Saccharomyces cerevisiae S288C: one gene and its partner. Each later gene encodes a partner of the first gene's protein in a complex. Each region holds a gene or a part of one and is shown in the gene's direction. Other genes may lie near its edges.

What was found. The genes of interacting proteins can lie anywhere in the genome.
Region 2: the proteins of NAS6 (region 1) and RPT3 are in contact, whole or in part, in a crystal structure (PDB 2DZO), measured with the Saccharomyces cerevisiae proteins. Residues at the interface, in NP_011748.3 of Saccharomyces cerevisiae: Met11 (codon at 1,904), Gln34 (codon at 1,973), Asp35 (codon at 1,976), Arg37 (codon at 1,982), Trp42 (codon at 1,997), Ser45 (codon at 2,006), Phe46 (codon at 2,009), Ser71 (codon at 2,084), Trp73 (codon at 2,090), Ile78 (codon at 2,105), Ser81 (codon at 2,114), Val82 (codon at 2,117), Gln106 (codon at 2,189), Leu113 (codon at 2,210), Gly116 (codon at 2,219), Lys117 (codon at 2,222), Phe139 (codon at 2,288), Gln141 (codon at 2,294), Arg146 (codon at 2,309), Ser149 (codon at 2,318), Gln173 (codon at 2,390), Trp175 (codon at 2,396), His180 (codon at 2,411), Glu184 (codon at 2,423); in NP_010682.3 of Saccharomyces cerevisiae: Pro364 (codon at 3,090), Glu365 (codon at 3,093), Ala366 (codon at 3,096), Asp367 (codon at 3,099), Asp369 (codon at 3,105), Ser370 (codon at 3,108), Ile372 (codon at 3,114), Ile373 (codon at 3,117), Arg374 (codon at 3,120), Asn375 (codon at 3,123), Asp376 (codon at 3,126), Ser377 (codon at 3,129), Lys397 (codon at 3,189), Arg399 (codon at 3,195), Tyr400 (codon at 3,198), Val401 (codon at 3,201), Leu403 (codon at 3,207), Gln404 (codon at 3,210), Ser405 (codon at 3,213), Glu408 (codon at 3,222).

The regions. Positions count from the first base shown.
Region 1 is NC_001139.9:952,087-957,710, forward strand, and holds NAS6 (Nas6p), read left to right. Parts: upstream 1-1,873; coding exon 1,874-2,560; downstream 2,561-5,624. Other genes in the region: BNS1 (Bns1p), read left to right, coding at 1-221; prohibitin subunit PHB2, read right to left, coding at 462-1,394; PHO81 (Pho81p), read right to left, coding at 2,588-5,624. UniProt on the Saccharomyces cerevisiae protein: Acts as a chaperone during the assembly of the 26S proteasome, specifically of the 19S regulatory complex (RC) and appears to have an overlapping role with RPN14.
Region 2 is NC_001136.10:1,259,681-1,264,872, forward strand, and holds RPT3 (proteasome regulatory particle base subunit RPT3), read left to right. Parts: upstream 1-2,000; coding exon 2,001-3,287; downstream 3,288-5,192. Other genes in the region: transcriptional regulator SPT3, read left to right, coding at 1-29; SHE9 (She9p), read left to right, coding at 221-1,591; SXM1 (Sxm1p), read left to right, coding at 3,644-5,192. UniProt on the Saccharomyces cerevisiae protein: The 26S proteasome is involved in the ATP-dependent degradation of ubiquitinated proteins. The regulatory (or ATPase) complex confers ATP dependency and substrate specificity to the 26S complex.

The DNA.
Region 1 (5,624 bases):
ATACGTATCGGAAAAGAAAAGCAGTGGAAGATCAAAGGAAAAACTTGAACACGCAACTTAGGCAAAAATTTGCGTCGCCGTCAGACAATTTGCTTTCACCATGCTCTAGAAAACTGAATGATCACAAGTCAAAACTTTTCTCAGCCAAATCGCAACCCAAAACACTGGAGTTTGTGCGGGGCAAACAGAATATACCACGCAAGCCGAATGTAGACATTTAATTTAACGGATGATGATCATAAATTGGCCTATTTTTTTGCTGTATGTGTTACATATTATACTATATACGTTCTCCAACAATACAAGATGATACGGGGTAATACTCCTTATTCTTATTCTAGAAGACATACAAATATTTATGTTTTACGCATCGCTTTCTTTCCCTTTATTTTGTATTCACAAGTATATGGCATCTTAACATTGTTACTCAATTCTTAAAGATAATATCTAGCCTTCGCTATTTATTTGCCCCTTCCATCGATTCTTGCATCCACTACGGTATTTAGCAACAATGCTTCATTATCCAAGATGACTCTATTTGGAGAGCTAGCCAAGATCTTTGCAATGTCCCTGGCTGTATCTAATCTTTTCAATTCCACGTAGTCTCTTGATTTCTTGATGGCTTCACCAATCAGTTCGGCGGATTTGGCTTCACCTTGTGCCCTCACTACCATACCTTGTTTTTCTTGTCTGGCTTTATCAACTACAAATGCAGCCCTTTGAGCATCTTGTTGGGCAATTTGCTTTGCTTCTACAGCGTTCGTAAACTCTGGCGAAAAAGTCATGTACGTAATAGAAACATCATCCAGTAGGATATTGAATTTGCTTGCACGACGAACCAAATTCTCGCGAATCAACCTGGAAACTTTTTCTCTTTGAGTGATTAATTGTGACGCATTAAATTGGGCCACTACAGCCTTTAAAACTTCATTAACAATGGAAGGCAACACTCTTTCATCGTAATCCTGACCTAAGGTTCTGTATATGGTGGGCAATTGCACCACATCCGGTCTTGAAAGTACTCTACAGGTGATATTCACCATTTGTAAGTCTTTGGTACCTGTTAAAGAAGCAACATTACGAGGTTTTGCTCTCACATCATAAATAATTGGTGTGTCAAGCCAAGGGAAAATGAAGTGAGTACCTTCATTAAATATCCTAGAGGAAACACCATGTATTCTGGAATAAACAATGGCTCTATGACCACCATCTACATTGAACAGTGCATTATTAATGAACAGTGCACCACCTCCGAGTAAAAGCAAACCTCCCAAGCCTGCAAATGCCCCCCTTGGTGAAGGCACTTGACCTCTGCCTCCGGTTTGCTGTACCTTGGACAATTGTTTTTGGAACGCCTTTGCGTACCTTTGGAACTCACCAGGTGATCTATTCATCAGCACTAAATTATATTCTTTTCTAGCAGCCGCTTGCTTTTATTTCGTGAGCTACTAAAATACAACCTCCCCTGTAAAACTCTTCTGATGTCCTTTATGGTTTATGAATTGCCCTTTTTTGCTATTATTTCCCTTAGATGCCAAAATGAGCGATACAAGAAAAGTTTGCCACTCTATGTCGTTGATAGTGATTATGCAACACAATTACATGCAAGCTATTAAAATATCGACTAAACGGATACGGCCACATCGCAGTATTACTCATAGCAATAGAGGAAGTAGAAAGTATTTAAATGGGGCCACTCAAATTGCACACTGCTTTATGTAATCTGATTTCATTTCTATACAAAGAATATCTCTCTTACCCGGCTGTCAAGTATGATCGAAGGGCCCTTCATAAAAGGGTTCTTTAAAGAACGATCAGCTGAAGCTGTGATAATAAATGCTACATAAATGCATGCCCTTAAAACTGTATAACCATGTCTAATTATCCTTTGCATCAAGCCTGCATGGAAAATGAGTTTTTCAAGGTACAAGAGCTGCTACACTCCAAACCTTCCTTGTTGCTACAGAAGGACCAGGATGGCAGAATCCCTTTACACTGGTCAGTTTCTTTCCAAGCACATGAAATTACCAGTTTTTTGCTTTCTAAAATGGAAAATGTTAACTTAGATGATTATCCAGATGATTCTGGATGGACACCTTTCCATATTGCTTGTTCAGTGGGGAATTTGGAGGTGGTAAAGTCTCTTTACGACAGACCTCTAAAGCCTGATCTAAATAAGATAACCAATCAAGGAGTTACATGCTTGCACTTGGCAGTTGGTAAGAAATGGTTTGAAGTATCCCAATTTTTAATTGAAAATGGTGCGTCCGTAAGAATTAAAGATAAATTTAATCAAATTCCATTGCATAGAGCTGCGTCGGTGGGTTCTTTGAAATTAATTGAACTATTATGCGGTTTGGGCAAAAGCGCTGTAAATTGGCAGGATAAGCAGGGTTGGACCCCACTATTTCATGCTTTGGCTGAAGGGCACGGTGACGCAGCTGTATTGTTGGTGGAAAAGTATGGTGCAGAATATGATCTTGTAGATAATAAAGGCGCTAAGGCAGAAGATGTTGCCCTTAATGAACAGGTTAAAAAGTTTTTCCTAAATAATGTATAAGATTTCAAAACTACATATTACAGAACTTTACATATCAATATTATTCTCAAAAAGCAACTCACAAGCGTAGTAGATCCCGCTGTAACCTCCATCAGCTGGTATTTGGTCATTTTCCCCGACCGATGCAATCAACAGTAGTCCGTTTTGTTTGATGATCCTAGCCAACGACGGGCATATCTTCAGTACTTCATATGGAAGCGTTACACCTAACAAATTATTGTTCATAGCAAATTGAACCATTGTATGTATGTTTATTAGTTCCGTGTTTAAATACGACATTTTTTGAGGATTTACGGCCAGTTCCTTTAAACAATTAGGAGTATCACCTACAAATTTGCCTGTGGTTGAATCTCTGAGTAGATTTTTCATTTGCAACAAAACCGGAAAATTGGGTTGTTTCCAGTTAAGGATCGAGCAAGCTTCCCAATTGCATGAACTGAAAACTATTTGGCGCATACTCCCACTTCCGCTGTGACGCAAAAAACGTTCATGCTCGAAAATGATTAGTAAAAGCTTATCAATGAATTGATTGATATTTATAAATGGCGATATTTTGATGGGAATTGTGTCAATTTCCTTATCTGTAGGAAAATATACACGAATTACCAGCTGGGCTGACCCGGGAATAACTTCTAGTAGGCTTCTGAGAGGCACCACTCTCGAAGATAAGTATTGTTTCAATGTTACTTCATCGAAGCTTCCATCAATTTTACCGAAGTCATAATCCACTACCTTTTCCAATTGTTCTTTCGTTAAATCATTTAACAGAATCTTCGTGCCTTTGAATTCAACGTATGGTTTTGGCGCAGCCACTATGGTTTCATCATTCAGAGCGCAAACTAATACACTAATAAAACTGCCATTCAACGATGAAGAAGTAACAAAATTACCGTCTTTACTAGAGGTCATTAAATCACTTCCTGTAGATTTCCAATACGGCTCATAATTTATGATTTTCAGTGGATTTCCCGGATAAGGAAAAATAATTTGGTAATCCAAAGTGAGAGATCCAATATTATTTAGTCTTGTGTCGAATAAGGGTAAATTCATGGTTGCAATACTATTTATTGCCACCTTCTTGAAAAGGAATGGCATTGCCGTTGTTTTGGCAATTATCCTTGTGCCAAATGAAGGAAATATCTCGAAATCCATTGAAAAATCGTCGATTGAATCTACTTGGAAAATTATCTCTCCATCATCATGATCTTCACTAATTTCATCATCATCTTCTTCATCATTTGTTTCACTGATATCCTTACAAAAGTTATTAATTTCGCCAGATCTAACAGGTAAAATAACATTTCGCGGTATTATTTCAGGTAAGTTTGAGGATAAAGTAATTCTGCCTGGTGATGATGACATAATAATGCCGTTATCCTGAGTCAACTTGATAGACTCGAGACCTGGCCTCAACTTTAATTTGATGAAAATTTTTTTCTCCAAAAAATTATGACCATATTTCCTTAGTGGAATGATTGGCGGTGGTAAAGCAAAATCCGGAATGCTATCTTGAATGTCTAAATCAAATTTGTCATCATTTGGGGTTAAATCTATTGTATTAAGGCGTTGCGTACTAGACTGCGAATTTATTTCATTCAGGGGTGCAGATGGCAAATTTAATGGTCTTTGTAAAAGTGCATTCAAAACATCAACGTGGCTCTCCCATAAGGCGTAAAAAAGTGGCGAATGGCCGTTGTCATCTTCAATATCCAGACGTGCATTATGTTTCAATAGTTCAGTAATAACTTCAGAATGACCTGAACGAACAGCGTAAAAAATGGGCGTCCATTTATTAAACCCATCAATTTCGTTGGGATCCGCCCCATAACGTATCAATAGTTGAATTAATTGTGGATCGCCGCCAATTTTTGCCACTATATGAAGAGTGCATAAACCTGTTGAGTTCTTTTTGAAAAGCGGTTGACACAAGTGTTGTGAACTTTTGTTCTTGGCATTATCAGCATTTTGCTTACTCCGAATTTCTAAAAGTAACTTGGCGGCGTCATGATTATTAAATTTACAAGCAACATTTAAAGGATCGAACTGGACTTTAGTAGAGCTGATTACATTCTTACTATAATCCAGAATTGGCTTTTCAATGGGTGATGCGTTCGCACCACCAATAGTCAGCAGATCCCTAACAACATCTATGTGGTTGTTAGTGATAGCCAAAACCAAGGGTGTCTTAGAATCACTATCAATGGGATCAACGTCCTCTAAAAGATTGGTGATTAGCAACGAGTGAACAAATTCCAGTTTTCCTAGCTCTGCAGCATAATGTAGCGGCACCCGCGAATGTATATCTTGGGCATTCAGTAGTTTTTGTACTGTTTCTTTAGATAACTTTGATGTTGTTAAAGCCTCATCTAGAATAAATAAGCGTGATTTTTCTGGACAACTTGCAGCCTCGTGAAATACGTTTTTTCGTGAAAATACTTGATCATCTTCGTCACAATATGACAGATCAATATGATCCTGATTGCTTTTATAGAAAATATGCAGAGAGTTATCGTCCAAAGGACTAGCCACCAGTAATAAAAACAGCGTCGTTAAGCACTCCTTCAACAAAGAAAAGACATTTTTATGAAAAGATTCTGAGGAATTTTGTAGCAGATATGTGAATATCTTGGTTTCTCTGAAGTTTCTTAGTAGTGCATGCTTTCTTTGAACATCTTTCACCGTGGCTATATTCAAAATTTCCTTATACCAGTTTTCGATTTCCATCTCCATGTCCAAGGAGGAGGAAGATGCTTGAAAAAGATGTTCAAGTTGGTTTTCCGAAATCTTTGATGTTGTTAATTCATAATTATTGTGTAATATGTTATTATTATTGTTGTTGTTGTTGTTGTTATTATTATTGTTATTATTATTATTGTGTTTATTATTGTTGCTGGTATTATTGTCGTCATCATCGTCATTAGTAAACGTACTGGATTGTATGTCTGCCCTTCTATTGTTGTTGTCAATATCATTCAGCTCTAAGAGAATATGTAAAGTTTCATCGTTTAATTTTAGTGGCCCATCTCTGGTAAAAATTGGTTGAATGGAAACAACAGTAGCAAGG
Region 2 (5,192 bases), on another chromosome or scaffold:
GACTCAGTTCTAAACCAATTATCATGTAAATTTTTGTATAATTTCATCATGGAGGTGCATGGGTTTCCTTCTGGTATGATAAATGTGAGCCAAATGAATTGAAAAATACAAATAAAGATTATGTACGTAGATACGCGTTATAAAGAGGACTATCTGATCATTGGGGTCTTTTTCGTTGTGAAATTGTAACGGGTGAACTCAGTGATTAAAAAATTGCGTGATGTTGAGATACTATGGGGCGACAAGAAACTTACCCTTAGTATTCAGCATTAACAAATTAATGTTGAGGGCGTCATCTTTCACCAGGCCATTTCATTATAGTTCATATTCTCTACAGAACGGTGATACTCCTGATAAAGGCAGCACTAATAAAAATGAAATACGGACACCTAATAACGCTGTTTGGAAAGAAAATATAGAACTTCAATGGCAGCACTTGAAAAAGAAATTAAATGAATTGTATTCTAGGTTTAACTTCCACCGAGATCAATTATCCTTTCAAGTTAACAAGGCCAAAAAATCAATTCAAGAGGCAAACAGGAAGTTGTCTGAGCAAGAGAATGAAATCAACGATTCCCGTTTAAACTATAATAAAGATGAATTGACCAGTGCGAAAATTGAAGGATTGCCCTCCGAAAGGGAACAACATAGAAAAAAATGGTCTAGAAAGTTAGAGTTTTATTTTGACTCATTACAGGAGACGTTATTTACTGCCACACGTGCTTTAAATGATGTGACCGGTTATTCTGGAATTCAAAAGCTCAAATCTAGCATCAGTCTAATGGAAAAAAAATTAGAAGCTACAAAGAAAGAACACAAACTGTTTAAGGCACAGTACGCTAACGCCATTGATGAACGTGCTCAATCCCAAAGAGAAGTTAACGAATTATTGCAAAGGCAAAGCGCGTGGTCTTCGAGCGATTTAGAGAGATTTACGCAGCTATACAAAAATGACGCCTTGAATGCTAGACAGGAGCAAGAACTAAAAAACAAGGTTAAAGAAATTGAAAGCAAAGAAGAACAACTAAATGACGACTTGTATAGAGCAATTTTGACCAGGTACCATGAGGAACAAATATGGTCAGACAAAATCCGAAGAACATCCACCTGGGGTACATTCATCTTAATGGGTATGAATATATTCTTGTTTATTGTCCTACAATTACTATTAGAACCTTGGAAACGGAAAAGGTTAGTAGGATCGTTTGAAGACAAAGTCAAAAGCGCTCTCAACGAATATGCCAAGGAGCAGAATATGAAGATGGATAAATTGTTACCTGGAAAATCATCGGAAGTAACAGACCAAGGCAACACAGAAAACTCGATCGTTGAAGAGCACATAGAACAGAGAGGTGAATGTAAAATTAATACGGCGGAAATCGACAGGCCTGAAGTTGCAACGGCTGAGACCACTACAACAGAAATGAAATCCTTCAGAGATATTTGGGAACGAATAAAGGCACTTTTTGTCACACTAAAAAGCATACAATATAGGAAACTTGACGCTCCCCTAGTCTTTGACACCTTAGAGTTCTACTTATACTCAATTTCTTTAGTGAGTATGACAATCTTGGTATCCGGGCTGATATGACATGATATACTGCGCAAGAATATCGTTAAAAAAACACGCATGCATTTTTTTCATCCTTTATCCTTGTACATAATAAAATCATAAATACACAGTAAATAGCACGTTTTGGTTTCAATATCCTTAACCTTACCTAGCTAATGTTTAGCTGGTGTAATCCATTATAATCAAAATTTCTCTAATGTTTGGCTCTTCGTAGCGCGCGATGTGCCCTTTCATATTTTTCCTGAAAGTAAGGTGGCAAAATAGTAAATCTGCAGTAATTGGGTATAGCCATGAATATAGGAAGTAATAGGGCTCAGATTCTCAGTGTGTGGACAAACCAATTCTGCCTATTTCCTTTCACTCATAAGTTATACAAGAGGCAATCGGATAAAATTCAAGTATTTATAAAGTAAAAACCACAACAAGAATGGAGGAACTAGGTATTGTGACACCTGTCGAAAAGGCAGTCGAAGAAAAACCAGCCGTCAAATCATACGCATCATTGTTGGCTCAACTCAATGGTACAGTCAACAATAACAGTGCCCTGTCTAATGTGAATTCTGATATATATTTCAAATTGAAGAAATTAGAAAAAGAGTATGAACTGCTGACTTTGCAAGAAGACTATATTAAGGACGAACAACGCCATTTGAAACGTGAATTGAAGAGAGCTCAAGAAGAAGTAAAGAGAATCCAGTCGGTTCCATTAGTTATCGGGCAATTCTTAGAACCTATTGATCAGAACACAGGTATTGTTTCTAGTACCACAGGTATGAGTTATGTCGTTAGAATATTATCAACCCTAGACCGTGAACTATTAAAGCCATCTATGTCTGTAGCTTTACATCGTCATTCAAATGCTTTAGTTGACATCCTACCACCTGATTCCGACTCTAGCATATCCGTAATGGGCGAAAACGAAAAACCTGACGTCACTTATGCAGATGTTGGTGGGTTAGATATGCAAAAGCAAGAAATCAGGGAAGCCGTAGAGCTGCCATTAGTTCAGGCTGATCTATACGAGCAAATCGGTATTGACCCTCCTAGGGGTGTTCTATTATATGGTCCACCAGGTACCGGTAAGACGATGCTTGTTAAAGCCGTCGCCAATAGTACAAAAGCTGCATTCATAAGAGTTAATGGCTCCGAATTTGTTCACAAATATCTTGGTGAAGGTCCAAGAATGGTTCGTGACGTCTTTAGACTCGCCAGGGAAAATGCTCCATCCATTATATTCATAGATGAGGTAGATTCCATTGCCACAAAGCGTTTTGATGCTCAAACGGGTTCCGATCGTGAAGTACAGCGTATCCTGATTGAGTTGTTGACACAAATGGATGGTTTCGATCAATCCACCAACGTTAAAGTCATCATGGCTACAAACAGGGCAGACACATTGGACCCAGCTTTGCTGAGACCAGGCAGATTAGATAGAAAGATTGAGTTTCCCTCACTTCGTGATAGGCGTGAACGTCGTTTGATTTTCGGTACCATTGCCAGTAAGATGTCCCTTGCCCCAGAAGCGGACTTAGACTCGCTTATTATTCGTAACGACTCTCTATCAGGTGCTGTTATTGCAGCGATCATGCAGGAAGCTGGTTTAAGAGCAGTGAGGAAAAACAGATATGTCATCTTACAAAGCGATCTGGAAGAAGCTTACGCCACTCAAGTCAAGACAGATAATACCGTCGATAAATTCGACTTCTACAAATGATTACCATATATGCTTCAACGTAGGTCTACATAAAGTATTACGTACATTTCTATCTAGACAACACTAAATGAAATAAATACAGACGCCACTTTTTTATCACGTTTCTTAGCGTTATTCCGCGCGCAACCGGACGTCGCTAGCCAAGTTTTTCACTTTTTTTTTTCTGTGATATTTTTTTTTCCAAATGAGATGGTAAGATGAGTACCTATCAACAAGTATCTCAATCAATAAAGTACAACCAAAATATCAAGTACGCAGTCTCTGCTTCATCCCAGTGTAGATTTGCTATTCGATTTGTGTCATAAACATTTAACATTGCGCCCGTCTACAACAAAGGAGATAAATCAAAAAAGGAAATGGTACAAGAACAGGCAATTTTGAGCTGCATTGAGCAGACTATGGTTGCTGATGCAAAAATTATCAAAGAGGCAGAACAGCAGTTATTTGAGTTCCAGAAGCAACCTGGGTTTACTTCTTTTCTGCTTAATATAGTGTCTGATGATAATTTTGCGCTAAATGTTCGTCTTTCTTCTGCTATTTATTTGAAGAATAAGATTCACAGATCATGGGATACTAAGAGAGAAGATGGTATAAAAGCTGACGAAAAGCTTTCGATCAAGGAAAGGTTAATCGAGACTTTAGTTAAAAACTGTGAAAATAACCACATTAGGCCTATCCTGACTGAAACCATAAATGGGATACTTGTTGGTCAGGAAGATTGGGATTTAGCACCTATTATCAAGAATTTATTATCGAGCGGTGACGCATCGTACATTTATCCCGGGTTACTACTACTGTTCCAACTTTGTAAAGCTCATAGGTGGGACATGGTTGGGTCGAGAGATTATATTGATTCTGTTATCGAAGAACTTTTCCCTATTGTGGAAGGGATAGCTTCTAATATCGGTAGTCAAACGGATTACAGATCTAATGAAATATTGTACCTCATTTTGAAGTCATTCAAGTATGCATGTTTGAACAACTTGCCTCAATACTTCAGCCAACCTGAAAGAATTATGTCATGGGTGCAACTACATTTGTATTTATGTTCCAAACCATTACCAGTCGAAGTAATGGAACTGGATCCCGCAGATAGGTCCCTAGACAAAAGGGTTAAAGTGAACAAATGGGGGTTCGGTAACTTAAACAGATTCCTGCAAAGATACAACAAAATTACAAAGGCCATCACCAAGGAATTTATCGACTATATCTTCAATACTATTGTTCCTATAATTCTTCGAGAATTTTTTAAGGATATTGAAGCTTGGGGTAATAATTCACTATGGTTATCCGATTCCTCTTTGTATTTCTTAATTTCATTCCTAGAGAAATGTGTTACAATAGATCAACTTTATCCTTTAATTGAGCCACATTTACAAATTATTTTTGAGAACGTCATCTTCCCATGTTTGTGTGCTAATGAACAATCCATCGAATTATTAGAAGATGACCAAGAGGAATATACCAGGCGTTATTTTGACATTAACAGAGAAGGCTCTACGCCAGATGCTGCTTCAGCAGATTTCATATTCTTGATTGGGTCCAAACGTCCTGAGAAACTGAACAATATTTTACCGTTCATTAATGATATTTTTACTAGATTCGATGCCAATTCCAGTGATATTAACATGGCATTTAAAGAAGAGGGTGCTTTGAGAACATTGTCTAACTTGTTTTCGTTTATAGATGAGCCATCCGTTCTGGAGAATATTTTTGGACACTTCATCGTGCCATTGTTATCGCAGGATAAGTACATGTTTTTGGTTGCAAGAAGTTTGGAAACGATAGCGCTGTATTCGGAAGAATTTAAAGATATGAACATATTGTCACAATTATTTGAGTTAACATATACCAACTTCTTAAACAGTAACGTTTTACCAGTCCAAATTGAGGCCGCAGATGCCA